Diceros bicornis minor: one gene and its partners. The protein of the gene in region 1 purifies or fractionates together with the protein of each later gene. This does not show direct contact. Links are inferred from orthologs where the notes say so. Each region holds a gene or a part of one and is shown on either strand. Other genes may lie near its edges. The genes, in order: WDR76, CAMK2D and XPC.

Region 1 (9,557 bases):
CAACCAAACATGCAGATACAGAGATTAGACTGGCGGTTACCAGAGGGGAAGAGGAGAGGGAGGAGGGCAAAAGGGGTGACTGGGCAGATGTGTACAGTGACGGATGACAATCAGTCTTTGGGTGGTGAACATGATGTAATCTACATAGAAATCAAAATATAATGATGTACACCTGAAATTTATATAATGTTATAAACCAATGTTACCTCAAGAAAAAAAATAAAAACAACAACAACAAAAACAGTGGGCATACTTATCTTGTCCCTATCATACCCTCTAGTCAACATTTTATTATGGTTCTAATTAGGGCAATAAGAAAAGAAAAAGAGGGGGGCCGGCCCCGTGGCTTAGTGGTTGGGTGCCCACGCTCCGCTGCTGGCGGCCGGGGTTCGGATCCCGGGCGCGCACTGACGCACCGCTTCTCCGGCCATGCTGAGGCCGTGTCCCGCGTACAGCAACTAGAAGGATGTGAAACTATGATGTACAACTATCTATTGGGGCTTTGGGGGAAAAAAATAAAGTAAAAATAAAAAAAAAAAAAAAAGAAAAGAAAAAGAGGTAAAAGGTAAAGATTGAAAAGGAAGAAACTGCCATAATTTGCTACTATATGATTATCTATGTAGAAAATACAAGATAACCAACAGACAAACTAAAAAAAACAATTCAGGAAGAATGCTAGATAAAAATAAGTGTACCTGTACATTAGCTACATATAATTAGCAAATACAGTTTAAAAATACCATTTACAATAGCAACTAATCTATAAGATACCAAGAAATAAATTCAACAAATGATGTATAAGGCTTTCAGGAGGAAAAACATATAATTTTATTGAAAGATATAAAAGATCTAAATAAATTGAGAAATATATCATGTTCAAGGATGAGAAGATGGCACCTACACCTGAGTTAATAAATGTATGATCTATAATTTTAATGCAATTCCATAAAAAGTTGTCCCTAGGCTGATTCTAAAATCATATGGAAGGAGGCCAAAAAGCCAAGACAAGTCTGAAGAACAAAGTGAGGCCAAAGACCTTAAACACCTCACCAAAGAAGATATACAGATGGCAAATAAGCACATGAAAAGATGCTCCACATCCTATGTAATCACGGAAATGTCAATTAAAACAACAATGAGATACCACTACACAGCTATCAGAACGGCCAAAATCCAGAGCTCTGACGACACAAAATGCTGATGAGGTTGTGGAGCAACAGGAACCGTCATTCACTGCTGGTAGGAATGCAAAATGGTACAGCAACTTGGGAAGATAGTTTGGTGGTTTCTTACAAAACTAAGCATACTCTTACCATACAATCCAGCAATCATGCTCCTTGGTATCTACCCAAAGGAGTTGAAAACTTATGTCCACACAAACACCTGCACACTGATATTTATTGCAGCTTTGCTCATAACTCCCAAAACTTGGAAGCAACCAAGATGTCCTTCACTAGGTGAATGGATAAATAAACTGTGGTACGTCCAGATGATGGAATATTATTCAGCACTAAAAAGAAATGAGCTAGCAAGGCACGAAAAGACATGGAGGAACTTTAAATGCATATTACTAAGTGAAAGAAGCCAATCTGAAAAGGGTACATACTGTATGATTGCAAATACATGACATTCTGGAAAAGGCAAAACTATGGAGACAGTAAAAAGATGAGTGGTTGCCAGGGGTTGGGTGGGGGGTGAGGGGGATGAATAGGTAGAGCACAGATAATTTTTAGAGCAGTGAGAATACTGTGTATGATACCATAATGATAGATATATGTCATTATATATTTGTCCAAACCCACAGAATGTACACCACCAAGAGTGATTCTTAATGTAATCTATGGACTTTGGGTGATTATGATGTGTTAATGTAGGTTCATTAATTGTAACAAATGTATCACTCTGGTGGGGGATGTTGATAATAGGGGAGGCTATGCATGTATGGGGGTAGGGAGTATATGGGAAATCTCTGTACCTTCCCTTCGATTTTGCTGTGAACCTAAAACTGCTCTAAAAAAATAAAGTTGTAACAAAAAAAAGAATAAGAATGTGAGGTGGGGGGGAGGGTTTTTGTATCAGATTGCAAGGCTTATTTAAATTCACAGGAATTAAAACAATATGTCATTGACTCGGGGTACATAGAGACCAATGGAACAAAGTAGAGACCAGAGAAACAACCTATATGAGAACTTGCTATATTACAGAAGTGACATTAAAAAGCAATGGAGGGCCGGCCTGGTGGCTTAGCGGTTAAGTGCGCACGCTCCGCTGCTGGCGGCCCGGGTTCGGATCCCGGGTGCGCAGCGACACACCGCTTCTCTGGCCATGCTGAGGCCGCGTCCCACATACAGCAACTAGAAGGATGTGCAGCTACGACATACAACTATCTACTGGGGCTTTGGGGGGAAAATAAAGAAATAAATAAAATCTTAAAAAAAAAAAAAGCAATGGAGAATGGATAGGCTAGTCAAACAATGGAGTAGTAGGAACAACTGGCTAACTCTAAGATAATAAGGTAAAATTAGATCTCTAACTGACACCATACACACAAAAAATTCCAGATAGATTAAAGGCTGAAGTGTGAAAAACCTATCTTAAACATTTACATCCCTACTGGACTGTAAGCTCCTTAACTTAGTCTGTCTTGCACAATTGTGTATTCAATCCTACTTAGTATATACAAACATTCAGACGATAGAAAACTGAATGTCTATGATCTCAGTGTAGGGAAGGACTTCTTAAACAGTATACAAAACAGCACACACCATAAAAGATAAAATTGATAAATGTGATAACACTAAACTAAAAATGCCTGTGTAACAGAAGACTCCATAACTAAAGTTAAAAAACAAGCCAAAAAACCTGGGGAAATAGATATTACAGATTTAGGATGTATAAAAACGAAACAAAGGGGCCGGCCCGGTGGCGCAAGCGGTTAAGTGCGCGCGCTCCGCTGCGGCGGCCCGGGGTTCGCTGGTTCGGATCCCGGGCGCGCACCGACGCACTGCTTGGTAAGCCATGCTGTGGCGGCGTCCCATATAAAGTGGAGGAAGATAGGCACAGATGTTAGCCCAGGGCCGTCTTCCTCAGCAAAAAAAAAGAGGAGAATTGGCGGATGTTAGCTCAGGGCTGATCTCCTCACAAAAAAAAAAAAAAAAAAAAAAAAAAAAAAACGAAACAAATAGAAAACAGGTAAATGACAGAAACAGGTAATTCATAGAAGAGAAAACCCAGAGAGTGGATAAACGCACGAACAAGATGCCTAGTCCCACTAGAAATCAGGGAAATGTAAATTAAAATAATGAGATATCGTTACACACTCATTAGACTGGGCAAAAATTAAAAAATCTGATATAACCAAGGGTGTGGATAAACACATGGAGAAATAAAAACTCCTAATGCTCTTACAATCCACTGTGGAGAGCAACTGGCAACAAATTGAAGATGAACTTCTAGGAGTCTACCCTAGAGAAATTCTTATACAAGTGCACTAAAGAGACACATTTAAGAATGACAATTGCAGCATGTTTGTAATAGGAGAAAAAACAACACAACTGTCCCTCAGTAGGGAATAAACTGTGGTTTAATTATACAATGGAATTTATAAGCAATTAAACTGAATGAACTGGATCCATATGTATCCAAAGGATACTTCTCAAACGCCATGCTGAGTTAAAAGAAAAAAAAAAGGCAAGCTGCACAAGGATGGGTTCAGTATATTCAAAAAACACAAAAGTAAGAACTGTTATTATTTTCCAAAACCCTTAATGAAAAAATCCTGACTCTTTATTCTGACTCCTCAAACAGAAACGGTGTTCCTTCTTCCATCTGCACTCATTGGAATCCTATCTGTCCTTTAAGGATCAACTTAAATGCCACCTTTCTTTCAAGCTTTCCTTGATTACCCCAATCTGAAGAGATTATTCCTCCTCTGCCCTCCCACAGTATTTGGTTTATATCACCTAGTGACAGGTATTACAGGTGTGAAAGACTGTACACTGTTTAGAATGTGCCTCTTTTTGCATGTCTCACATCTATTAGAATACGAGTTCCTTAAGGTTAGGGGGACTGTCCTACACAACTTTGTATTCAATTTAATAAATACAGTCACTGCCTTGGCTGACAGGGATAAAAAGTTTAATAAGACATAGTTCCTGCCTCAAGGAGGTTATGAGCTTATGATGTACGAGAGACAGATACATAAATAATTATAACGATGAGTTATAAAAGCAGCATAAACAGACTGCTATGGATAAAAAAAAAGAGGGACTGTATCCCGCACAAATCCCTGCAAACAACAGGCATTCACTATATATGTTAGTCTAACGAATTGGTGGAGGCCAAGGGAAGATAGGTGCTTGCTGTAGGTGAGGGCAGACAGGCTATAGGAACAAGATGAGATGGAAGTGGGTTTTCTTTACCCTAGGCAACGTGATCGGGTGCGAGTGTGACGGGGAAAGTCGAAGAAATAGGGGGCAGGGTCTTAAGGGTCGGTGGGGTTGGGGTGGTCGGCCCGGGGTAGGTTTGGAGTACGCTGAGGAAGGAAGAGGCAAGACCCGACTGGAAAACGGCTCAGCACAGTACCTTTCTCATTGCGAACCGGGACGGCCCCAGCCGTAGACTGAATGGGCGGTTGTTTCATGAGTGCGCTTGGGACCGACATGTTGACGACAGCAGCGGTGACTCCCGAAACTTTACTGATTCCAAACAGCGAACAGCTTCAACGTCAACGAACAGAAAACACCTCCCAGCCTAGAGCCGCTAGACACGGCTGCGGGACTGATAGAAACGCCACTTACGGCTGGGCTAGAAAAACCGGAAATATGCGACCAGAGGATTGTGGGATTGTGGAGGACCTCTGGGCGACTACCGCTAGAACACCGAGTCTGTTACTGCGCATGTTCATAGGCTGCCCTAGCGTCCTCAGTCTGGAAGTACATATTTGGACGTCGGTTGTGGCGGGAAATTGCTTCGGTTGGGCTTTGCGGTTAAGACCCTGCGGCGAGGAAGGTCCGAATGAAAGGTTTCGCTTGTTAGCTTGGTTTGAAGCCGAGGAAAATGGGATAGTGATGAATAAGACACTGAGGAGATAGTGAAGGGCAGTTTGTCCAGACTGTAGAAAGCTCAGAATTAGAGTTTAATCGGAATAGAAATCCTGCTAATAGTGTCTGATTAATTTAGCTGATGAGGCTGAGTGGGTTTTGGTGCGGTACTTTTTGGTCACGCGAGGGCAGGTCGCGGTGATTTAGGCCAGTGGCAAAAAAGAAAGAAAGAAAGAAAGAAAGAAAAAAAATCCCCCAGGGGGCCTGAGTCAACGCCTGAAATCCGAACATTCTACTTTTAGGCTTTCTGGTTCTTTCCGCTTCTGGAGACCACCTTTTAAAATATATTCCTGGCTGGGAAGTGTTTGTATATAAGTCTTTGAGTAATTATTAAGTACTTGCTGTGTTAACTGTGCTTAGCTCTCTGTAAGCAGTAACGAATATTGTTAAAAGGCTCGTATCCTCAAGAAGCTTTAATTTAATTTAGGAAGTCTTCAAGGGCTTATAGAATCATAATAGAAGCAATCGCAATTACTAGCTCGGTTATATAAAAAAAATTGGCTAATTAGAAGTCAGAACACATTTCACTGTAGAAGGGATTTTAAAACTGCTATGGTTGGGAGGGAAGGGACAGCATGAGCAAAGTCTTGAAGTCCAGAAATAGCGTATATATCAGACACCATGAAAAGTGTGATTTTATCAGTAATTTTTGAGTCAAGGAGTGGTGAAAGTTTGGCAGGTACCAGATCAAGTAGGGCCTTGAAGGTGCTGTTAATAGGATTAGTTCTCAAATTATTTCACTTGTGTTCTCAACTTGAGCCTAGGCTGGCAGAAGAAATAAAAGGAACAGTGGAGGACTCAGATAACCAACCAAGGGAGCAGTTTTGGGCTAGAAAGAAAAGGACCTTAAAAATAAAGTAGATAGAAATTTATATTATGAATTTATCAGCTCCAAAACTATGCTGTCCAGAGGGAGTGTGATGGGAAGGCAATTGTTTTGGCTCACAGCAACCCAGAGAATAGAAAAAAAAATTTAATATCGCTGCGACTATAAGAAATACAGTGCACTAAAATCTTATGTTACTTTGTGATACAAAAATTATTTGATTCACAACTTTTCCCTAGCCTTTGGGCTTTGTAAGGTCCTCATTAGGATCTTAGTTAACTGGTGGACAGATGATCAGGTGAAATTTAAACTAGCTTAAGTTATCAGCTCTTGAAAAAAAACTAAAAAAAACTTCCCTTCCTAGGAATAAGATAATGTGGTAGCCATGGGGCCTAATTTCCTGGTGGTGGTATAAGGAACCAGGGGGCCGAGGTAAGGGCTGCATGTTGATTGCGATTTCCTTTGCTCTCTATCCGGCATCTAAGTGCGTCTGAATCTTTTCCAGCCTCACGTTGTAAGGCAAGGTGGCTTATCCTCAGCAGAAGCGCCAGTGTTTTTCAAAGTGAGATACTGGCGTCAGCAACATCAAAATCACCGGCATCCAAGGTAAAAATGTCGATTCGGTCCCATCGCGTCCCTCAAGAATTTGAGTTGGGGGTGAGGCTGGTAGGCTTGGCTCCTTAAGGGACGACGGTAACGCCCGTGTCGCCCCTCCCCCCCGGCCAGCTGGGATCTGAGCGCCCGCCGGCGCCGCCCGGGCTCCGCCCCTCCCACTCCCTCCCACCCCCGCCTCCCGCCGCAATCTTGGCGGGAAGACGCCAGCTGTTAAGCGGCGGAAAGATGTCCGGGTCGCGCGCGGTGGCTGAGAAGGCTGGCTCCAGACAGCGACTCCAGGTGAAGGTGAGAAAGGGCTTGTCGCTTTCGGGTGTGCTCCTGACTCAGTCTTCGAGAGGGATCTTCCGGGCACAGGCCCGGGAGGGCACCAGGACTTGGCACCCGGCACCTCCTCACTCCAAAACGATTTCCCGCCGCTTGGGGCATCCCTCAGCTTAAAGAGTTTTTCGGGGTGTTGCTTCAAAAGATAAGCGGGGATCCCTGCCCTGGTTTCCTCTGTGAGAGTAGGCTGCGGCATTGAGGAAGGTTCTTGTCAGTAACCCCAGAAATAGTGGCAGGATGGGATCAGGGACTCTGCATTTGCTTTTGCAGCAGTTAGTGTCAGCTTCCTACTCTTGAAACAATTCCATTTACTCAGAAGCTGACAGTTGGGGTAGAGTCACCTTAGATACAAATTGTAGTCATTATTATTATTGGTCTGGCAGACTCATATGGGCAAGAAATGTGCCCAGTATAATAAATAATTCTATTCAGGTTAATGAATTAAGTATCTAGGTTTTGGAGGAAAAAAGTTTCCTTACAGGCTATCAGTTTGGATTTATGTTGTTATTATGAAATAGGAATGAGATTTATTTACACAGATCTGTAAGAAAAGACATAGGATCTGGGATTCTAACACTCTCCATTTTCCTTTATTGACCTGAACAGGTGAATGAATATAAAGAAAACCAAAACATTGATTTTGTATCTCCAAGGCCAGTACAGACTACAGTTTTAGGAAAAACAGCTAAGGTGTGTCTTGTCCCCTTTTCACTCAGTAATTACAAACCAGACCAACTTAAGTGCCCCAAATCCCTCTTAGATAAGAATTCTAACAATGAAGTGGCGTGTAAGAAATGTAAGAAGATTGAAATAAAGAAAACTTGCAGAAGAATTTTAACTCCAAAGATGGAAGCCACATCTTCCAAGGCAGAATCCACTCTGCAAAAATCATCCTTAGATGTTCATACTGAAAGTAACAAGCAAGGACACAAGAGCACTTCAGATACAGTGATTCTCAGTGTTGATATGGAAAGCAGTCAGGATGGAGACAGTGATGAAGATACCACACCAGGCCTGGTAAGAATTTAAATACCAGCTTATTCAAATTTTTCTTAGTTTAAAATTTGAAGTTCTGGTAAGTGAAGGTTATCAGAGGTCTCTCTAGCTCAAGCAGATTGTTTTATCTAATTTATGTTTAATTGAAAAATTTTTTAAATGTTTAACAGATAACTTTGTTGAGTTAATTTTGCTCTTGGTTTTGATTTGTCAAGGAAAGGATTAACTTAATTTTCACTCTGCTTCCCTTTTTCTTCCTCTTGGTTTATTGCATATATTTTTGAGTTTACGCATACTTTATGGTATCTTGCTTACCTTTACGTATTTATGCACAATATACCAGAAGTTGGCCTGTGGGACATATGGCATTTGAGTGACCCTTGATGTCAGGGTAGGAAAATCATCATTAATTGATTGCATTGATGTGCTGAATAATATTTCCATTAAATACAAAAAGGAGACAAATGATGGAGTAGAGAAGATACACGAGAAACACTTATTAGTTCTGTTTAAAATAATAGAATCAGTTTAGGGAATTAGGCATCTAACTCCTTTGGCTTCGATTGCCTACCAGGAGTGTTGTACTTCATTTAAAGTGACAAATTTTATGCAAGACAAGATAAAACCCTACCACATGACAAAAAGGTTGATGGAACTAGGGGAACAGAAAATGATGGTAGGGAAAGGGAGATAGGATAATTGAGGTGGTGGTATTATGAAATAGGAATTCAGTTTATGCTTTATTGTCCCAGAGGTAAGGATTAGCACCTGTGGTGGCACAGTGTGTGGTAAGTCATAAATGCATTGGAAGCCTAGGTTTTAGGCATGGCCACTTCTAAGAAACCTTGTGCCTTTAAGCTAGTCACCTCTACGGTGAGGGAATTGGATAAGATCAGTGGTTCTCAAACTTTAGCTTGTATTAGAATTACCTGGAGGGCTTGTTAAAACTCCATTGCAGGGCTCCACCACCAGACTTTCTGATTCAGAAGTTTTGGAGTGGGGTATAGAATTTGCCTGTCTAACATGGTTTCCTGGAGACACTGATGCTGTTGGTCCAGGACTGCTCTTTGAGAACCACTGGATTAGATGATCTCTTTGGCCTCTTAGACTGTAAGTTCTGAGTATATTTGGCTAATATAAAGCAGATTTTAGTTTGATCTGAGGAAGTAGGGTCAGAAATTAGAAATGAGGAAGTGGGGGCCGGCCCCGTGGCTTAGTGGTTAAGTGCGCGCGCTGCGCTGCTGGCGGCCCGGGTTCGGATCCCAGGCGCACGCCGCCGCACTGCTTCTCTGGCCATGCTGAGGCCGCGTCCCACATACAGCAACTAGAAGGATGTGCAGCTGTGACATACAACTATCTACTGGGGCTTTGGGGGAAAGAAAATAAATAAATAAAATCTTTAAAAAAAAAAAAGAAATGAGGAAGTGAGTACTGGAGATAGTCGAGCAGAGTCATAAATGCTCAGCATATGTTTTCTTGGGACAAACTGAAAGATCTAACATCTTTTATAGAACATTTCATTCTTTTGTTCTCTTCCCTTTCGTTAAGTGTCTTTTTGGAGTAAAATGATTAAGGCTTTGTGGTACCGTGTTTTAGGAACAGGAGTTTACAAGCTTATTTCTTCCCACATGAAGGAAGGTTTTTGTCACATCACAGACAAGTGTCTTGGCCTATAAATCTAGAATTTTATTCTGTTT
Region 2 (9,570 bases), on another chromosome or scaffold:
GCCTCTAAATCTGCAGTGAAGAGTGGCTACAATGAAGACCCTGCTGAAATTCTCACAGAAATTTACTTATTACTGATGGATTCTGCACTTTGGGGAGCTATGGAGATAGCATCATCTCTTCTTGTTTTCTTGTCTTGTAACTTTGTAGCAAGGGAAATCAATGATTGTCAATATCTGCTTTGTTCACTTAAGTACTGGAAACTTCTCTCTTCCTAGTGGGACTACTGAAGTTGTGCAGGTTTCAATGGCAAGTGACCAAAGGAGAGAGAGAAAGAAGATACTTTCTGTCTTTGGTTCTGACGTTGTATTGTATATAGTGATCATTTTTAGTCTGTCTTATATGTCTCTGCTACTATTTGTCAGTTCATGCTATCACAAAAAAGGGATGGGGTACATTTAGAGCAAGATTTCATCCTGCTCTTGGCACTAACACAATTTCATTTGAAGTCTAGCAATCTAGGTAGTGAGAGGGCTCTGCTTACAACTACTATTCAACCCTCCCAGCATCCCCGCCCCCCCACCCCTCACCCCTCCTCCTTTGCTGTTATTGGCTTACCAGTATTAAAAGGTAAATTTCAAAAGAGGATAACATTATGAATGCTTTGCTTCCATCTTAGCAAAGTAGAAAGTTAGGAGCTGGAAGTAATACGCTGGCTGGTCTTGAGTTTTGTCTGATTAATCTAAATCAATTGAGAAACCAAATATGCTACTGTTTAGAAATTTTTTTCCATTTTGCTCTTCAAAAACTCATTTTAAAGCCACATTTTTCATTTCCTTACATTGACTTGTGTCTTCATAATGAGATCTAGTTATTGGAAACTGTTAGCATCTGTCTTTTATTACAATGTAAAATTTAGTAAGGCCAATGTATCTAAAAAACAGAAATTCCTTCTTCCTTTATGGACTTCAATGGTAAGAAAATTAATACTAGATTCTTTTCCCTTGATGTCAATTGTTAACATATTTTTAAAATCCATTTCTCTGCATAAACACTTTTTTTTTTTTTTTGTGAGGAAGATCAGCCCTGAGCTAACATCCATGCTAATCCTCCTTTTTGCTGACGAAGACCGGCTCTGAGCTAACATCTATTGCCAATCTTCCTCCTTTTTTTTTCCCCCAAAGCCCCAGTAGATAGTTGTATGTTATAGTTGCACATCCTTCTAGTTGCTGTATGTGGGACGCTGCCTCAGCAAGGCTGGAGAAGCGGTGCGTCGATGTGCGCCCGGGATCCGAACCCGGGCCGCCAGTAGCGGAGTGCGTGCACTTAACCGCTAAGCCATGGGGTCGGCCCTGCATAAGCACTTTTAATCATGGGATTGTCGGGGAAGAGGGAGAATCCCCCTCTGCCCTTTCCCTTAAGGTTCTTCTGGCTGGCCAAACAACTAAAAGACAGGTTAGCAGGAGAAAATAATACCAAGTTTAATAACATATATACATGGGAGAAACCAGGGAAACTGAGTTTCTCAACACAATAGCAGAGATTCTTGTCTTAAATACTATCTTCAGCTAAAGACAAAGGAGGAAGTTGCGGGTGGGTGGTGTTTTGGGATTTCAGAGGGGAAGAAGACAATTTACATGAAGAGAGAAATGTAAATGTTTGTCAGACAATGCTTTGCGGGGCCACCTATAGAGAATATGGCCAGAGAGAAAGGAATTATAGTAATCAAGAGTATGTAGGGGCCAGCCCCGTGGCGCAAGCAGTTAAGTGTGCGCGCTCAGCTGTGGTGGCCCAGGGTTTGCCGGTTCAGATCCCGGGCGTGCACCGACACACTGCTTGGCAAGCCATGCTGTGGTGGCATTCCATATAAAGTGGAGGAAGATGGGCATGGATGTTAGCCCAGGGCCCGTCTTCCTCTGCAAGAAAAGAGGAGGATTGGCAGACGTTAGCACAGGGTTGATCTTCCTCACACACACAAAAAAAGAGTATGTAGATTTAAGTCTTCTCCATCTGTCCTGATAAGAGTTTTCACAGATAAGGTCATCTCCTCCCCCTCTTCCCACTACACAGAGGGAGATACCTTTACAAATGTAAATATTTGGTAAACAGACCTTTGTTAAGAATGGGCTTAGTGAGGACCCTGCCAGTCTGTCCATACCCAGAGTTAAATTCCTTTAGGCAGTTAGTGGGGGGAGGTCAAATGTCTGTCAGAGAAAATAATCAAGGTAAAGAGATATATTTCAGGGTGGCCAATTTTGGTCTCCCACAGGATACTGTGACCATCTTAATTGAAAATGACTACCTTTACAGTAAGAAGTCTTACTGGTATGTTAATTATAAACTACCAACTTTAATATGAAAATTGTGATTAGATAATCTAAACCCCAAAATAATTAATTTGCCCATTCATTGAGCAGCTATTATGTGCCAGGCACTATTCTAGTTGCTGGAAATAGAGCAGCAAACAAAACAGACAATAATTCATGCCTTTGGGAGCCTATATTCTAGTTTGGAAGTATAAACAATTAACAAGGAAAAAAATAAAATTTATAGTATACTAGATGGTAATAGGTATTAAGGGGAAAAATAAAGCAGGAGATGGGAATAGAAATCATGTCAGAAAGAGGTGCAGTAATTGATAGGGTGGCCAGGGAAGGCCACACTGATAAGGTGATATTTGAGAAAACATTGGAAGGAGGTGAAGAAATGAGGTCGAGGGTAACTAAGAGATGAACATTCTGGAAGGAGGGAAGAGCAAATGCAAAGTCCCTAACCAGGAGCGTTCCAGTCACGCTCCAGGAACAGCAGAGGCCAACTGGCTGCAGCAGAAGGAGCCAGAGCACAAACTGGGGTACAAGGCTAAAGGAGCGGAGATGGAGGGCAGATCCCTTGGGGCGTTGTAAGTCAGTTTTAGAATTTTGGTTTTTGGTCCAATTGAGATGGGAAGACTTCAGAAGGTTTTGAGCAAAGGCATGATTTGTTCTGACTGAGGTTTTAAGAGGATAATTCTGGCTGCTATGCTGAGACCAGAATGAAGGCGGGCAAAGGGCAGAAGGAGGAGACCAGGAAGGAGGCAAGAGATAATAATCCAAATGGAATTTCTGTGTAACTTTAGAAGGATTACTGTTTTAAGGAGGTCCAAACTTTAGAACTGTCAATATTTGTTTAAATAAGACAAATATTTTAATTAGTCCAAGAATATAGATTAAGCAGTATTTGCTTAAGTACTCATTTATTGTGTAATATAATACATCAATATTAAAACTCAGTTATGTTTCCTTTATTGTATCACACAATTATCATTAACCCATTTACAATTATCAGTAGTTTAAATAACTGAGATAAATACTGTCATTATGTAGGCCTCATTACTTGAATATTTAAAGAACAATTTTCTTTCCCAGAGTTGTAAAATTTTATATTACCTTTATTTATTGTTTTAATTTTACTTTTCTATTTCATTTTTAGATTCAGAGAAGATTAAATTATTGCATTATAACTTGGAACCATATTGCTAAATATTTAAGATATATATTAAAAATCTTATAGCCTAGACCAAATTGTTTTTTTTTTAAATTTTATAGCCCAATTATTAATATTTAGACACCTTATTTCTTTCCTTTTTATAGTTTTTGGTATCATCTTTTCTCGTATCACTACATTTTACACAAAGTTATCTTTCCTTTTATGGTTGGGAGTCAAAATATGTACAAATGTCATTTTTGTTATAAAAAGCGTTAAAAATCGTGAACATTTTGAGAACTTTGGTAAAAGCTATACTGGCAGAATAGCATTCCCCAGATCAGGAAATAAGGGAGTTAGGATTACGTGTGACCGTTGACAAGGTAATTTACTAATTAATAGCAGCCTCTGGGAACAAGCAACAACTCCTTTACATCTTAAAATCCCTGTATCTCCAAGTTATCGTTTATCTCCCAGCTGTGAAATTTTGAGTCCGTGATGCAACGGTAACGATGAACAAATTAGCAATAGAATTGCAAAAAGTTTTTAGGGTCCCTGCTGTAAAACAAAAGGCAGTAATTTGGAATCGACAGTTCAAAAGGTTTCTGTTTTTGGTCTGCCTCTAATCTGCAATTGCATAGTTTATTAAAGACGTAGGACTGGAAGGCAGGCCCGGGGGTTGTTTTAGCAATCAGCAATTTATCTATTTTAAATGTAATGCAAAATTTTTTCTCGTATTTACTGTAAACAGTGCCAGATATGTGAATGAGTAGGACGTATTCTCCAACTGTTGAGTGGGTTTTCAGAGAGCCATTTACGGAGTATACTCATGTGCCACTAACTGGCCAGAGCGTTGAGCATGCAAGCAGAGCACACGCGACCTCTCCTTTTTCTTCTCTCTTTGCAAAGTGAAACAGGCTAGACATGTTCGTGTGATGCGAGTGACGTCAGCCCCACCAGGTCCCGTGACCGATACCCAACCTTCCCACTGCCCCGCCCCCGCCGCCGGAGCAGGAAATCTCGCGAGAAGACGCCTTACTATCAGAACTCACCGAGGTTACGGCAGAGTTACTCGGAGGGGAAGGTGTGGCTGGGTGGCGGAGGTGTTGCTTTGATGCTGCTAACGTTCATGGCCCCAGCAAAGGCCTTTGGGGATTGCCAGAGTCTGGGCGAGCCAACCCAGCACACGGCGGGGGCGGGGGAGAGCGGGTGGCAGTCATATCAGAAGTGAAACGTGGCGCACGGCGGGCGTCGCCCCTCCTGAAGGGGCTGCGAGGGAGGGAGGGGTCGGCGCCGGGGCCGGGGCGGGGGCGGCGCGGCCTCTGCCGCGTGGGGAGGCTGGGACCCTTCTGGAGGCGGGCAGGTGCCCACATCCGGCCCCGCCGTGTCGACGGCGGAGCGGCGCCGAGGGGCAGGGGTTGCGCCCCTCGCCCCCCCGGCCGGGCATGGCGGCTCGGGCCGCCCTCGTGCCCGGCGCCCACCGCAGGGCCGGGGCCCCCGGCAGTCCACGAGTTAGCACGCATCTTCCCGCTAAGTCAGCCCCAGATTCAGGCAGGGACCTCACTGCGGGTTTAACTGGGTAATTTTGACGTCTCGCCTCATTCACCTAAAGCGTCTCCAGGCTTCTCCCCCGCACATCCTCCTCCACCCACCTGGTCTCTCCCTAGACGGCTGTGCGCCTGTGTGAGACCCAGGGAGGAGGGAGATCCACGAGGGGACACGGTTGCAGTCGCTAGAGGGAGGTGTGGGACCGGCGACGAGGAGGAGGCGGAGGCACGGGGACGCAGACGAGGCTTCGCCCGAGCCGAGCGCGCTTTCCTGGCCGCGCGGGCTCGCAGCGGCGCGGGCTCGTGGGGAGCGCGAGGCCGCCGAGGAGCCCGCGGGAGGGCGGCCGGCCCCGGGCGCGCACGCTCGGCCGAGCCCCGGCGCGCCCCGCGCCCGCGCCCGCTGACAGCTGCAGCTGGGCTCGCGCCGTCGGCTCCCGGCTCCGCGGCCTCCGCCCCCCGGGCGCCCTCCCCTCCGCCCTGCCCCTCCTGCCCCGGTGCGGAGCGTTTCGCGACTGCTCGCCCCGAGCCCCTCTTCTTGAGCGCTCGGCCCCCTGCATCTGGGGAGAGGGGCTGGAAAGGGGGCGGGTGGAGCGTGCAGAGGAGCAGAAGGAAGCGAGGCCCGGAGGAGGCGGCGGCTCGGCGGACTGCGGGGAGGAGACCCCACGCCACCCGTTCTGGTCATCTCCCCTCCGCCCCGCCCCTGCGCACACTCCCTCGCCGGCGAGCTACTTTCGGTCGAGGAAACTGCGGGCGGCCCTGGGTGACAGCGCCGCGGGGCCAGTCCCGGGGAAGCCGCGCGCCCGCTCGCGTCTCGTCCGCCGCGCGCCCGGCCAGGGGCACAGCCCGGACCGAGATGGCCTCGACTACAACGTGCACCAGGTTCACGGACGAGTATCAGCTCTTCGAGGAGCTCGGAAAGTAAGCGCCTTTGCCGGGCACCCGCACGGCCCCTTTCCAGCAGAGGGCGGGTCGCGTTACCCCCGACCCACCGGCCTCCCGCGTGGGGCGAGGGAGTTTGGGCGGCAGAGGAGAGGGAGGAGGGCCCCTGGTGTGTCAGCTCGGAGGAAGGTGCTGTCAGAGTAAGGGGAGGGGACAGACCCTCCACCACGGCTGTAGCCCGTTCCGATAATCCTCAGCCCACCTTCTCCCGCTCCCCCACCCTTTGCCCTAGAGACTTAGTGGATTTACGAGCCCTGCAGTTGTAGCTGTCACGCTGAGAAGTGTGCGAGCGTGTGTGTGGAGAGGAAACAAGAACCCATGTGAAATGCACATAGATCATGTTTTCTGTAAATAGAGATGCCTCCTGGTTAGCCGGCGTGTCGGCGGTAGGACCCACGTACGGATGAGAACTCGCTGCCACAGACGGTGCCATGTTTATTGATGCCGAAAGTTCAACTTGGCTTAGAGTCTGTTTCGCATCCAGTAGTTGTTCTGTCCAGGAAAAGGGCCACCCAAAGGAACCCGACCCCCTGCCCCATATCCACTATCATTCTTTACGTTAGATTACTCGCTCGTCATCATCCTTCGTAGGATTTACGGGCGCATCTTCGCATTCTCTGCGAGGATTTATTTCTGCAGACAGCGGAAAAGCCCTCTGGAGACCGGGAGAGAGCTCCCCAAAGGTAGCCTAGTGTTGTGAAAAACGACCTCCTACACCCGACTGGCAGAACTACTTGGAGATGTTAAGGAAGGGGACAGGAGACCTGCTGAGGACCTGTGCAAAGGGACCTAGGGACCGAGCCGTGAATGTTGGTTTATGTAGCTTCAAACCCAATTCCTCTATCGCTAGTTTCGACTATTACTTGTGAAAGGGGTGCGCTTATGTGTATGTTGTTGTTTTGTACAATTGAATTAAAGAAATGTAGTGAAAATTACATCCTTATATATTTATATGTTCTTTGCTGTTAAAACATGGAGAATATGTCGGAAGAGCAGCTTAATTCAAATCTCTCCCCTCCCCCAACCCAAAACAGGGCACAGAGAAATCACCCTACCAGGATGTGTTAAACCACACAAATGTTCCCAAGATTTATATTTTAATGAAAACAATCGCCATATTTACTTAACTTGGAGCCACATTAATTTTTTTCCTTACCAAAATAAATAGGCAGCAGATTTTTTGCTGCTCCTTCTCACCTCTGCTCTTTGCAGGGTTTTGTCTCAGAGCATTTGGTGCTGTGTGAGTGTGAATTGTAGAATGTTTTCAAATTTCGTGTGCAAACAAGAGCCGTCATAATTGGCAGTTCCTTTCATTTTGTTGATTAATAGTGTGTGCTCCCAATTAAATAAAATTTACTTTTACTCTTCAACATTAAAGAAGGTCTAGGTTTCCAGGAAGAATTCTTCATTTTTTGGCTATTACTGTAGTGCACTGATATTTGTTCACTAAAGTCAAAAAAATGCTCAGATTGTTGTAATTTTTAGTAGACTATCAGAGCTGATTATACTGATGACCTGCTAATTATTGGTTTTCAGGGGGGCATTCTCAGTGGTGAGAAGATGTATGAAAATCCCTACTGGACAAGAATATGCTGCCAAAATTATCAACACCAAAAAGCTTTCTGCTAGGGGTGGGTATTTCCAACCACATATATGTTAATTTTGTATTTGTCATGTTGAGTGTTGGTTTTGTTGTATGTAAATATATCATTTAGTTATAATCGAATTGTAGACTTAGTTATCATATTACATATTGAGATTATTTCCTTCCTGAATGCCTCTTGGTCTGTACAGTTTAAACAAAAATGAGCAAATATAATTGTTATTATTTAATAAATTGTTATTAAAATTCTTTCTGTCCCATGAGCTGTAGCATAACTAACTATATTTAAAGCAAATAAATGTCACTAAGTGCATTTTGCCTTTAGCTGTACTGTGAAATAACTTGCAGAAAAACCCTGGAATGGAAAAATGTAAGTCTCACCACTGTCATTATTCCCTTTTGCTTTTGAGAGGAAAAATAGGTCATAGCTCAGTTGAATCATATATTTCAATGTAGTTACACTTGAACTTAATTCATCAAGGTATATTTAACAGTAATGGCTTTGGGAGGAAAGTCTTATGATTGCTATATTCTAGGAAGTTCAGCTCGATTTTGCTGTTGTCTGTGTGCAGTTCAGACGTTTACTTGGTCTTCTGCAGTAAGGCTTCTCACAGACTCGTGTAATGTATTTTACACATGCTTTATAACCACGAAGATAATTCATACTCATAAAATAGCTGTTGACATAAGCAGAAAACTTGGAGGGCCCTCACTGCATTCTTTGTATTTTGTGGAACTCGTGCAAAAGTACTTATACTGAAATGTTAGGCATTTCAATTATCATGAGCACGTGGCTGAGGTATTTCCATGGGAATTTATGGTTTGATGAAATAAAAATGCAATTAAAATGAACAAAATGCCATAGTGTAAGCCCATTTCAGTGACCTGGTTTATTTTAACTAATGAGAGGAGAAATTGCATTAGGATTAGTTTTCCTCATTTAATTTGTCTTCTAAAATGTGGTGCTTCCTGGTATCCTGGGGTCATTGTGTTTGGTTTCTGCTGTGTTTTTTTCCCCATTTGTTGCAAATTCTACTTTTAACAAGTACGTTAGGTTTAGGTTTGCATTTCAGTTTATTTGTTTGAATGGGGTTTTGTTGTGATTTCCTTCATCTGATTTTACTGTGATTCTGAGAAAGATGTATATGCTAAAGTAACCAGCACCATTGATTCATGGCATGGGAACTAATGGGAAGCTAGATATACTGGATTATGTTCCTCTTCCCTCTACTACACAGGAAGGTTTTTAACGGCGAAAAGGAGTTGCTAAACTGTAAGTGACATTTTAGTGTTAAAAAAAAAAAAAAAAGAAAAATGAAAGTGTGTAGCCAAATTCTTTGAGTGCTTGTAGGACTTCTTCCTGTGTGCTAGGTACTTTTGGCAAGAGTGGGGTATCACTTCTTCCGAGGCGTTACAGAACCTATCCTGAATCTTTTGGTGGCTGCAAATTTTCTCTCAAGACAAATCAGTCTTGTGCTTCACTTTTACTAATTTCCTTGGTCTTAGTCAGCCCTTTTCATCCACCTTAATTCATACTCCCTGCATCGGACTGGCAAATACACTTGTCTCTACTCACATAGTTTTTATTTGACTTTCTTCTGCCTCCGATCTATGGAAGATATGTCTTCTCTAGCCTGAAGGAATTCCCTCTCCCTGCTGCCTGGCCTGTGTTCCTCATCTGCTCATACTCTGCTTTAAAGAACAATCTACACCCACAGGCCCCTGGCCCCTTCTGGATTTCATGATTCTAATGATTCCAGTTACACCGAAGAAAAGTAGTTAGGGTGACGAACTAGAAGCCCTGCTCTTGTTCTCCCTCTGTAGTTTTCTTTCCTTGTGACTTTGGGCAAGTTTCTTAATGTGCTTTTATGTTAAGAATGAAGTGATGAAGAAGTAGGTGTTGGAACTAGGTGCCCTGGGTTTAAATTCTGATTCCCTACCCTTTAGCTGTGTGATGGTGGGCAGTGTACATATTTCCATGAGCCTGTCTTCTTATCTGTAAAATCCACGTTAATACTATAATCCTTCCTTTTATAGGGTGTTATGAGGAGTGGATGAATTAATATAGTATATAGCAGTGT
Region 3 (10,393 bases), on another chromosome or scaffold:
TTAAATGCAGAAAAAAGGATGTGAGAATCTAGATGTCATCAATTAAGCTAGGCATTAAAGAGACTGGCAAAAATGTAAAACAAAGACACTTCTCACTAAATTATTTTTAGAAAATATATTGTTCATTAAAATGTTACTTATATTAACATAAGTTTATTACTATTTTTTAATGAGTTTATATTTTTAAGTTTCTCAGTTTTAGTTTCTATTAAGTACTGATAGATCAAATCCACATCAAACAAAAGAACACTGTCCAGTGTTACTGTTATATACAAGCACATACAGGCATCTTACACTGTCATATCTCATTGAATCCTAGTAACCCTATAAGGTAAGTGGTAGTATTCCTGCTTACCAATGTGGAAATTAAGTCTGCAAAGTTAATTCCCTTGCCTAACATACCCCAGGGAGGAAGTGGTCAAGCCAGTCCTGGAAACCAGGTCTGTCTGACCCCAAAGCCTTTGTTTTCAATTGCTACACTCTGAGTCCATGAGTAGCTGTCAAAACATGACAGGCTTTCCATAAACAGGTGTGAAGCTGTAGGATGTTGAGAACAATTGACATTTTAAAAGCGATGAGGAGAATTGTATGACTTACTTTATATATCTCTTCATATGTTTCTTCATCAATTTCTATAGTAGTCACAGTTTCTTCCACATCTCCCAATATCATATTTAAATGTTGATCATAAGCCTGAAGTGGGAGGATGAAGGACCAAGAAATTTAATAATCAAATTAAGAAACAATGAACAGGACTTACAATATGCAAATGGCTCAATTACAAGTAACCACAATACTTATATCACAAACTTTCACATATAAATAAAAAATAATCCTGCTGTAACTAATATACTATTTCTTCACAAATCATTCCAACAATAACTTAATTGACCTGATAAAAATACAACACTGTTTACGTGGCCAAAGATGAATTTACTCAAAATAACTTGAAATTATTTTTACAATGTCCACCCTACTTGTTATGCAGGGCAGTCACATCACTTATAATATTTAGTTAGAAAAACAGCAAATTCATCACTTTGAGTAGACTTCCTTCAATTCCATCTGTAACAATGCAACAAGAAAGACACAGTAAAGGAGGTAAAATTCTTCAGCGGCTAAGATGATGGCATAAGACACTGTCATTAAACCCTCCCTGTCTTAAACTAAACACCACAAGGTAAAGTAAGTAGAGCAACACCCCGCCCATTTATAACCTAGCTAGAACTGTGCTTGGCACCTGTGGGCTCAAATCAATAAATGTCGCAACTCAGATATTCAGGGATGTGATCATTCCAAACGCCAAAGCTCATGCATTCTACTAAAAGGTGAACCTTCGGGGGCCTTGTTCCCAACCCACTTACACTTACTTCTAACAAAGTGTTAAATGGTACAGCAGCTCACATCACAATGAAAGTAGCCAACCAGCCACGTGGGAAACTGCTAGGAAGAGCACACTGACAAGAGTGAAAATCTACAGATGAGGGCCAGAAAACAAACAGAAGGTTGGGGGCCACTCAGCACAGAGGCAATCGAGTCTCTGCAGGGAGCTGAAGAAGCCTCCACGAGTTAGGCAACATGTCTGTCCCGGGGTGTCTCTCCATGTGCCAGTGGCCCACGTGATTAAGGGCAATTCTATTTTTCTTGGCAAAGGTGTTGCTATTCCACTTCCTGGGGTTCCTCTTCCCTTAAGGCGAGCTGGATATTAAGACTCTTGCCTCCCTAGGTCCCTACTTCCTTTCAAAGCTCCACAGGCGGTTCTTGACCTTTAGGTTTTATGGCAGGTAGAATCATAGTACTTAAGAATGGGGCTGAAGTCAGACTGCCTAGGTTTATATTCTGGCCCTCCCTTTACTGGCTGTGTCACTTTAAGCGAGTAACTTCACCTTTCTGAGCCTGATCTTCTTCAACTGCAAAACAGGGATCATTAGTATCTACCCATACAGGGTTGTTACAAAAATGAAATACGATATTACATACAAAACATTTAGAGTAATAGTACCTGGCATATAATTAAAGCTCGACAAATATTAGATATTTTTAATCACTTTAGGGTAGAATGAAAGTAATAAAAACGACACTCAGCAAAGTAACAGGCCATCAAGAAGAGACAAACCTTCAGTACACTCTCTTTATGAATAAATGGGACCATTTCAAGGGACCTATCTTGTAGAAATAGTTGCAGATATACACAAAGAAATATGTATAAGAATTCTTACTGTGGCATTGTTTATAGTAGCAAGAGATGGAAAACAATCTAAATATCACTACTACCAATACAGAATTCCATGCAGTCATTAAAAAGAATAAAGGAGATTTATATGTACTCATGATCAATGATTTCCAAGAAAGAGTAAGTGAAAAAGAAAAGTGCTGAAAAATATGTATAGCAAGATCCCATTTACTTTTTTTAGAGGTGGTGTATATAGTACAAATACATGCATATGGACACATTTATATGTAGATATGTGTAAATATACAGAAAAGATCTGAAAGACTATACTGGACTTTTAACAGTGGTTACCAATAGAAATAAATGGGATTTCATCTTTTACTCTATATATTTCTGTGCCTTTTTTTTTTTTTTTTTTTGGTGAGGAAGATCTGCCCTGAGCTAACATCTGCCAATCCTCCTCTTTTTGCTAAGGAAGACTGGCCCTGGGCTAACATCCATGCCCATGTTCCTCCACTTTATATGGGACACCGCCACAGCATGGCTTAACATGTCAGTGTGCACCGGCGATCAGAACCAGCGAACCCCGGGCCACCGCAGCAGAGCATGTGCACTTAACTGCTTGCGCCACCGGGCCGGCCCCTCTGTGCCTCTTTTCCACAACAAAACACAAATTTATGTATATGTCAGTAATTTAAAAAACATTTAAATAAGAATGGAGGACAAACAAATGTTATTTAAAAATAAACAGAAGTGAAAAAATGAAAGAAATGAATATGTTCTTTAATAAACATTTCTGTTAAGAGAAAACACGTTAAAAATATGAATAAATTATAGCTGTATTTGGCTTGTAGAAATATGGGTGACTTTCTACCTCCATCTCATCTACACACTAAATACTCTTCCACAGTGGACAGTTTTTACATTTCAAGCGGGTGAGGGTAGGGAGGGATGAAGAGGAAATAATCTGATTTCCAGGTAATTTAATAAATTTACTTACATGTAATCTACCACCACGTAATTTAATAAATTTACTTACATGTAATCTGCCTCGAAGCTCTCTGTCATTTCTCATTTTCACATAAATTCGCTCATCCAGGCTGAGCCTGATGAGATCCAGGGGCTCTTCTACGGTGTTGGTAGTTTGTTGCTGATAAAAGAAACAGGCTTATGATACAGTACTAGAAAGAGCGTAGTGTTTGAATCATTGCTATGCTGTGACTGTGGGCAAGTTACTTAACCTCTCTATGCCTCAGTCTCTTATCTGTAAACTGTGGATGACAATAATGCCTACCTAACACTGCTGTTGTGAGCCTTAAATGACATATATGAAGCCTTAGAACAAAGCCTGGCACATAGTAAGTGTTATATAAACGAGAGCCAAAACATACATCCACAGGAAGGAGTTACACAGCAAAGTTATCACGGCTGTACTTTGTTCCCTCAAAATCCAAACTGCCTGACCCAATTTCAGGGTATAGTGAGTCACTCTCAGGGACTTTAGCCCTGTCTCAAATATCATTTAGTAATTTGAAAAACATTCACTTAATGACTACCACACACTAGTCAGAACGCCAAGCAGTGAGGAAGGTTTGAGGGAGACCACGAGGTCAGTACAGGGCAGGTTGAGTCTAGGGTGCTGAGTGGCTGGTAAGATGCATATATTTAGCAGGAAGTAGAGAATACTGGTTGAAAGTACTAGCTTTGGAGTCAGGCAGTGTGAGCTCAACTACTGACTCTGACACTTATATGAATTGAGATAAAAAATCATGCCACCTCTAATTCTCAGGTTCCTTGTGTGCAAAATGAAGAAGCCATAATTTTCCTTTCATGATTCTTGTGAGGAATAAATGAGCTAATGTATTTAATTAACGTATTTAAAACAGTACCTGGCAAACAGAAAGTACTTATAAATGGTTCAGGTTATTACTATTAAAGAACTGTTGGAAACAGGTCTCAGAAAGATCAGGGCTAGGATGACTTGGGGTCATCCATACAGAAGGGAGAAGCCAGGAGAGTTGACGAGATTACTGAGCTTCTTCAGGGAGTACATGAGGCCAGGGGAGGAAAGTGACCCAACACTGCAGGCTCTACAGCCTTAAAAGGTTAGATGAGAAAAAAAGCAATCCTGACCTCAATTGGGCCCCACCCCAGTTCAACAGGCGTTTGTTAATGGGCAGCTAACCAACTACTGGATTACAATGACACAGCAGTCAGTCCCTGCTCATTTTAGTGGGGAGAGGCAAATAAATAGACAATTATAATATTGTAAGAATATACTCATGACAGAGCCCTACGGCTCCTTTAGCCTCAGTCTGGGATGCCCACGGTCCACACTTTTCATCCTGTAGCTTTAAATACTGCCTTTTCAAAGAGGCCTCCCTAATCATTCAATTCATTCACTCAATAAGTATTCGAATGTTTCCAGCACTGTTCTAAAACCTGAGAACAGGGGCCTGCCAAGTGGTGCAAGCGGTTAAGTGCACGCGCTCTGCTGCAGCGGCCCGGGGTTCGCCGGTTCGGATCCCGGGCGCGCACTGATGCACTGCTTGTCAGGCCATGCTGCGGCGGCGTCCCATACAAAGCGGAGGAATATGAGTATGGATGTTAGCCCAGGGCCAGTCTTCCTCAGCAAGAAAAGAGGAGGATTGGCAGACGTCAGCACAGGGCTAATCTCCTCACACACACACACAAAAAAGTAAAACCTGAGAACAGAATAGTGAATAAAACAAAATTCTTGCTCTTAAGGAACTCACATTTTAGCGGAGGGAGAGAGACATCAAACAAAGACACATACACTTAATATGAACAGATAACACGCTATGAAGAAAAATAAAGCAGACTGGGCCTAATGCTATTTTATGTAGGTGGCCAGAGAAGCCCTCTTCAATGAGGTGAGGTTTCACTAGAAAGCTGAAGAAGCTGTGGCCTGATCCACAAAGACACCTGAGGAAGAGCATTTTGGGAAGAAGGAAGAGCAGGTGAGAAAGCCTGTGGGACCATCAGTTACTCTCTACACCAGTTCCTTGTTTGTGTCCTCCATACCACATCACAGTGCCTACATAACGCATATATTTATGTTTACCTTTCATCTATCCTCCCCCAGAATATAAGCCCAAGTGGGGACAAGGGTCACGCATGTCAATGCCGGCGTCCTTGGGGCTTAGAACGGTGTCTAAGCAAACGCTGATGTTCACTACGTATTTGCTGAATGAGTAATAACGGTTGCGCTCGATAACGATAACTCCTTACTATCACGCTTTGTATCAGAATCCCGACAGCTCCGCGAGGCAAGCAGGAGTAATTATTCCCATTCTACAGATAAAGGTCAGAATGAAGACAAAGGGAGCGACGAACGGGAGGAATAACTAGTTTTCAGGCGGGCTTCGAACTAGAAAAGATCTCAGGGCTTGAAGCAAAAGTCGCAGGGGGCGCGGTTAGCAACGGGCCGATTAAGGCCATGGTGACCTGGAAAGAGGCGGCACGATCGGCCACCTTCCCGTGAGCTTCGAGAAAGCAACCGTGGTACGCAAAGCCGAGCAGGGCCAGGGCTGGGAGAGGAGAAGCCGCTCCGGAGCGAGCTCCCTAGAAGACACTCACCTGGTCCACGTCGTCCGCCATGTTTCAAACCCTGCGCCCTTCCTTGCCTCTCGCGAGAGCACGCGAGCTCCCTCCTGTCTCCGGAAACGCGAGGACGCAATGCACCGGAAGTGCAAAGAAATCTGTTTTGCACCTCCTTGCTTCCCGCTGTTCGCCTTGGTCTTTTGGGGCTGGGGCGGAGCTTCCTCTGGGGGCGGAGGCTTGCCCTGTGAGGAAGGGGCGTGGCTACGCCTGGCGCAGCCAGGGGCAGCTTCCCGCGGGGTGGTGCGTCACGCGAGCAGCTAGTGTTGCCCGGGCAGCATGGCTCGAAAGCGCGCAGCTGGCGGGGGCCCGCGGCGACGCGGGCTGCGGGGCCAGAAAGCCAAAGGGAAGAGCGTGGCCCGGCGTGAGGAGAAGGAGGCGGGTGAGAGCGAGGCTGAGCCGGGCTTAGAGGGGGATGCCCGAGGGCGGGAGACAGGCCCGGGTCGGGGAGCGGGGAGGCCGGCTCCTGGAGGTGGGGGGCCGAGGAGACCGCGTTACCGGGGCCAAGGGAGGCAGGCGCCGCCCAGGTCCTCCCCACGAGGAGTGATGCGCCCTCAGCGGCTCCCCTGGAGCCCGACCCCATGGGAGCTGCCCTGCGTAGCCTCTTTCCTGCTCCCTGTTGCCCACAGGACAAAGTCCGGCCTCCTGGCGGATGCCGAGGGCTGAACAGGGGAAAGGCAGTGCAGTTATTTTGTGTCCCCAGAAGACGGATGGACCAGGACGTAGAGTGCAGTAGTGTGCTGACTCCCAGAATATCTTCAGCTAAGTCTCACCCCAGAGTTCCAGATTCGGATCCAACCTGACTGACTCCTCCACGTGGATATCCAATAGACGTCTTATATTTGTCATGGGCAAAGCAAAACTCTTGATTTTTTCCCCTGTAAGCCTGTTCCTTCCCCGCCTTTTCCCATCTCAGTAAATGATGCCTTCACCTGCTTGTAAAAGCAGACCCCTGGTTTTCCTTACACGCACACATCCTGTCAGTCAGCGAGTCCTGTCAGTCAAACCTCTGAACTAGATCTCCACTCTCTCCACTTCTCTTTATTTCCGTGGCCACAGCCTTTGTCCAAGCTACTGTCACTTCTCAGTTGAAGGACTGCGGTCACCTCTTTACTGGTCTCCCTACTTCTTTTCATTCCTCTGCAGTAGTTCTCCACTCAGCAGCCCAAACCATCTTTAAAAAAAAAAAATCAGATCATGCCATGCTCCTACTTCAAACCCTTTGTGGCTTCCCGTTGCTCTTGGTGTGAAATCCAAATTCCTCACCATGGATTACAAGACCCTACATGATATGGCTGCTGCTACGGCTCCTGTTGTCTCCTACCACTCTTCTTTGCCAGATACTCTCATTGGTGGCCTCCTTTCTGTTCCTCAAACATGCCATGTTATTTCTCACCTCAAGCCTTTGCCTTTGATGTTCCTTCTGCTTAGAATGTTCTTCATGGCTTTACTGTGCCTGATTTCTTCTATTCCTTTAGGTGTCAATTCAGACACTCCTTGAGCGTCCTTTCTAAGGTGGTCTTCCCGGGATACTCCCTATCACACAGGCCCTCAACGCCCCTGTCACCGTCTGTAATGATCTTCTTAATTTATTTGCTTCCTTTTGATTGCCTGTCTTACCAGACTTTAAGCTTCATGAAAGCATGTCTTATTTTTTGCAGTATCTTATCTTGTCACTCTCCCCATATACTAAGTGCTCAATAAATATTTTAAATAATTGCAAAGTGCATGCTGTGGAAAGGATTTCTGGGCTTCCTGAGATAACTGGGTAGAAGGTTAGGTAACCAGCAAGGACTCAGACACTAGATTCAACAGTTCTGTGATTCTGTATATAAGTTCGTCGTCCATTAGGAAATAGTCAAATGGTAACAATTTTTAAACTTAGAAGGTGATTTACCTCACAATGAGTTCCATTTTATTCATTCATTTACTCATTCAGATAACATTTTCTGAGTACCTACTGTGTGCTGTACATGGGCTAGGTGACATGGGGGAGAGATTTCATGGAGGAGCTTAGAATATAGTAGTGTTGACATTTACAAAAAATATCCAAGGCAGAGTACGCAGGGTCTGATATTGGAGAAGGTGCAAGGCTTTGTGGCTTCTGAAGGAATAATCAAGTTTGACTGGAGAGACTGAGGTGTGCTCTCTGGAGGAGTTATGTGTGATCTGGGATTTAGGATGGGTAATATTCAGCAAATGGTCGTGAGAGGGGGTTGTATTCTAGTCAGAGGGAATGCGTTCTGAATATGTGGCAATTCAAAAATTAAAAGCATTCCTCCCAGCTAAAACACTTCACTTGGGCACCAGTTTGGTGTAGCTCCAATGCTTGGTAGTTATATGCACTTAGGTAAATTATTTTGGACAAATAACACAGCTTTTCTGAACCTTGTCTGTGAACATACTACTATCTTGCAGGGTGGTTGTGAGTTTTCAGTAAGAGCATATAAGGCTCCTGGCACGGTCCATGTTACATAATCATTCGGGTTAGCTCGTAACAATTCAGCCTAAATATAGTTAAGGATGCCCCCAAGCTTCACTGAAACTGCCAGCCAGCGGAGCTAGCAGTAAGTTCCCAAGGCAGCTTCCGGGAAGAGTTGCAATCTTTGCTGTGGTTGAGGGGAGGAGCAGGCGTGGTTTGGGCTGCAGGTGACACTGATTTGGTGATCATTGAGTGTAAGTTCTAGCAGCACCTCGGGGCATGCAAATGAAGGTGATGCGTGGCTGCTTTCAGCAGTTAGGGACAAAGAAAACATTTCTTCCACATTATTTCCTTGTTTCTATTAGGGCACCTCTAGTTTCTTCATATTTCTTCTCTGTGTTAATGCCTTCATTGATGTAATTCATTAATTCCTTCAACAAATATTTATTGAGCGCCCACTGTTCCCAGGCACTGTTCTAGGTACTGAAGTTATGGTAGTGAACAGAACAGGCAAGGTCCCTGCTCTCATGATGCTTATAATCTTTGGGGAGGAGTAGGTAGGGCAGACAATAAGACGTTAAAAAATAAATTCACATGGTGATAAGAGCTATGAAGAAAATAAAACAGTTGCTGTAATAAAATGGGCATGGGGGTGGGGAAGAAGCAGCTAAGTCAGAATCAGTCGTCAGGGAAGGCCTCTGCAAGGAGGTGACATTTTGAGCCAATTACTGAATGCCCCGATGGAGCCATTCTTAGGAAGTTGTGGGGGAAAAGGCAGAGGGAACAGTAAGTTTCAAGAGTTTCGGGGGGGGGGGTGAGCTTCGCCATTTGGCTGGACACAGTGAGTGAGGGGGCGAGTGGTAGGAATTGAGGTGAGAGAGGTTGTTGGGGCCCTTAGCTTGGAGAACAAGCTAAGGAGTATGTATCTTATTCTAAGTGCTGTGAGATGCCACTGGAAGGTTTAAGCAGGTATTCTTATTAAATCTCAATTGATGACCAAGCCAGCCACAGTGGTAATTCCTGTCCTGCTGAAATAACCATGTTGAGCTCAGGGAGGCTGGTTAGACAGATGAGATAACTCCAGACCTTTGAGTCCTGGAAAATAGCCTCTGGATTCTCTAGGACCAAAAAAACACAGCAAAGGATAAAGGAAAAAACAAAGTCATCCATATTTCTACCATCCAGAAATAACCACCACTAAACAATGGTATATTTCCTTCTAGTCTGTGTTTTTTTATGCAGTAGAAACTCCCTGTAAAAATAACTTTGCCTGCCTAATATTTTATCATATATCATTTTTCTTTGTCTAAAAGATGACTGAATTATATTTCATCGTGTGACTGTACCATAATTAATGATTATCTCATGATTGGTTATTCACATTAGTTTTTAAACTTTTGGATATTATGAATATGAATGATTTTTTTTGATTCACAGTTTTTTGTTTCCAATTCCCCCCCCTTTAACTCCTCTACCTCTCTCTTCAAAGCACAGAAATATACAGCTGTGCCTTATAACCAATCAGATCAGTTTGGTGAGGAAGAAACAGTGTCTGTGAAGTATCCTCCCACTTGGGTTTTTAGATTAGTAAAAATGAAGTATTAGCATCTTTGCTTATTAATAGAGAGTAAAGACCATTGTAAGATCCAGAAATCCTGATTTTAAGGGCACACTACTCAAACCGTCTAGTCAAACCTTTAAGCAGCTTCCGGTCTTGGAATAAGAAATCTGTTCCCCAGATTCTAAATAAGTAATTTTGAAATATTTTGTTTTTCAAAATTTCTCCTTATTTTTTGTGTCTGTGTTAAAATGGCTAAGACATAGGAATGCATAAATTCTTTCTTTTAGAAAGCATCAGTGATTTTATCTACATTAACACAATGCCCATAATGTGAAATTTATTTAAATTAAAGTATGATTTATGGGGCCGGCCTGGTGACATAGCGGTTAAGTGTGGATGCTCTGCTTCGGGGGCCCGGGGTTCGCAGGTTCGGATCCCAGGCATGCACGACACACCGTTTGTCAGGCCATGCTGTGGCGGTGTCCCATATAAAGTGGAGGAAGATGTGCATAGGTGTTAGCTCAGGGCCAATCTTCCTCAGAAAAAAGAGGAGGATTGGCAGATGTTAGCTCAGGGCTGATCTTCTTCACAAAAAATTAAAAAAATAAAAAAAGTA

What was found.
Region 2: the proteins of WDR76 (region 1) and CAMK2D purify together in Homo sapiens (affinity purification with mass spectrometry; 3 studies listed by BioGRID and IntAct, counting the BioPlex papers as one, with this or other methods). This does not show direct contact. The link is inferred for Diceros bicornis minor from reciprocal best matches to the Homo sapiens genes WDR76 and CAMK2D.
Region 3: the proteins of WDR76 (region 1) and XPC purify together in Homo sapiens (affinity purification with mass spectrometry; 3 studies listed by BioGRID and IntAct, with this or other methods). This does not show direct contact. The link is inferred for Diceros bicornis minor from reciprocal best matches to the Homo sapiens genes WDR76 and XPC.

The regions. Positions count from the first base shown.
Region 1 is NC_080744.1:41,110,460-41,120,016, forward strand, and holds the start of WDR76 (WD repeat-containing protein 76), read left to right. Parts: upstream 1-4,946; 5' UTR 4,947-5,010; intron 5,011-6,433; 5' UTR 6,434-6,534; intron 6,535-6,654; 5' UTR 6,655-6,768; coding exon 6,769-6,828; intron 6,829-7,470; coding exon 7,471-7,881; intron 7,882-9,557. Other genes in the region: MFAP1 (microfibrillar-associated protein 1), read right to left, coding at 4,585-4,663. UniProt on the Homo sapiens protein: Specifically binds 5-hydroxymethylcytosine (5hmC), suggesting that it acts as a specific reader of 5hmC.
Region 2 is NC_080750.1:8,577,115-8,586,684, reverse strand, and holds the start of CAMK2D (calcium/calmodulin-dependent protein kinase type II subunit delta), read left to right. Parts: upstream 1-5,471; 5' UTR 5,472-5,800; coding exon 5,801-5,865; intron 5,866-7,422; coding exon 7,423-7,517; intron 7,518-9,570. UniProt on the Homo sapiens protein: Calcium/calmodulin-dependent protein kinase involved in the regulation of Ca(2+) homeostatis and excitation-contraction coupling (ECC) in heart by targeting ion channels, transporters and accessory proteins involved in Ca(2+) influx into the myocyte, Ca(2+) release from the sarcoplasmic reticulum (SR), SR Ca(2+) uptake and Na(+) and K(+) channel transport.
Region 3 is NC_080741.1:88,652,518-88,662,910, forward strand, and holds the start of XPC (DNA repair protein complementing XP-C cells), read left to right. Parts: upstream 1-6,042; 5' UTR 6,043-6,073; coding exon 6,074-6,176; intron 6,177-10,393. Other genes in the region: U6 snRNA-associated Sm-like protein LSm3, read right to left, coding at 598-693, 3,213-3,323, 5,774-5,794. UniProt on the Homo sapiens protein: Involved in global genome nucleotide excision repair (GG-NER) by acting as damage sensing and DNA-binding factor component of the XPC complex. Has only a low DNA repair activity by itself which is stimulated by RAD23B and RAD23A.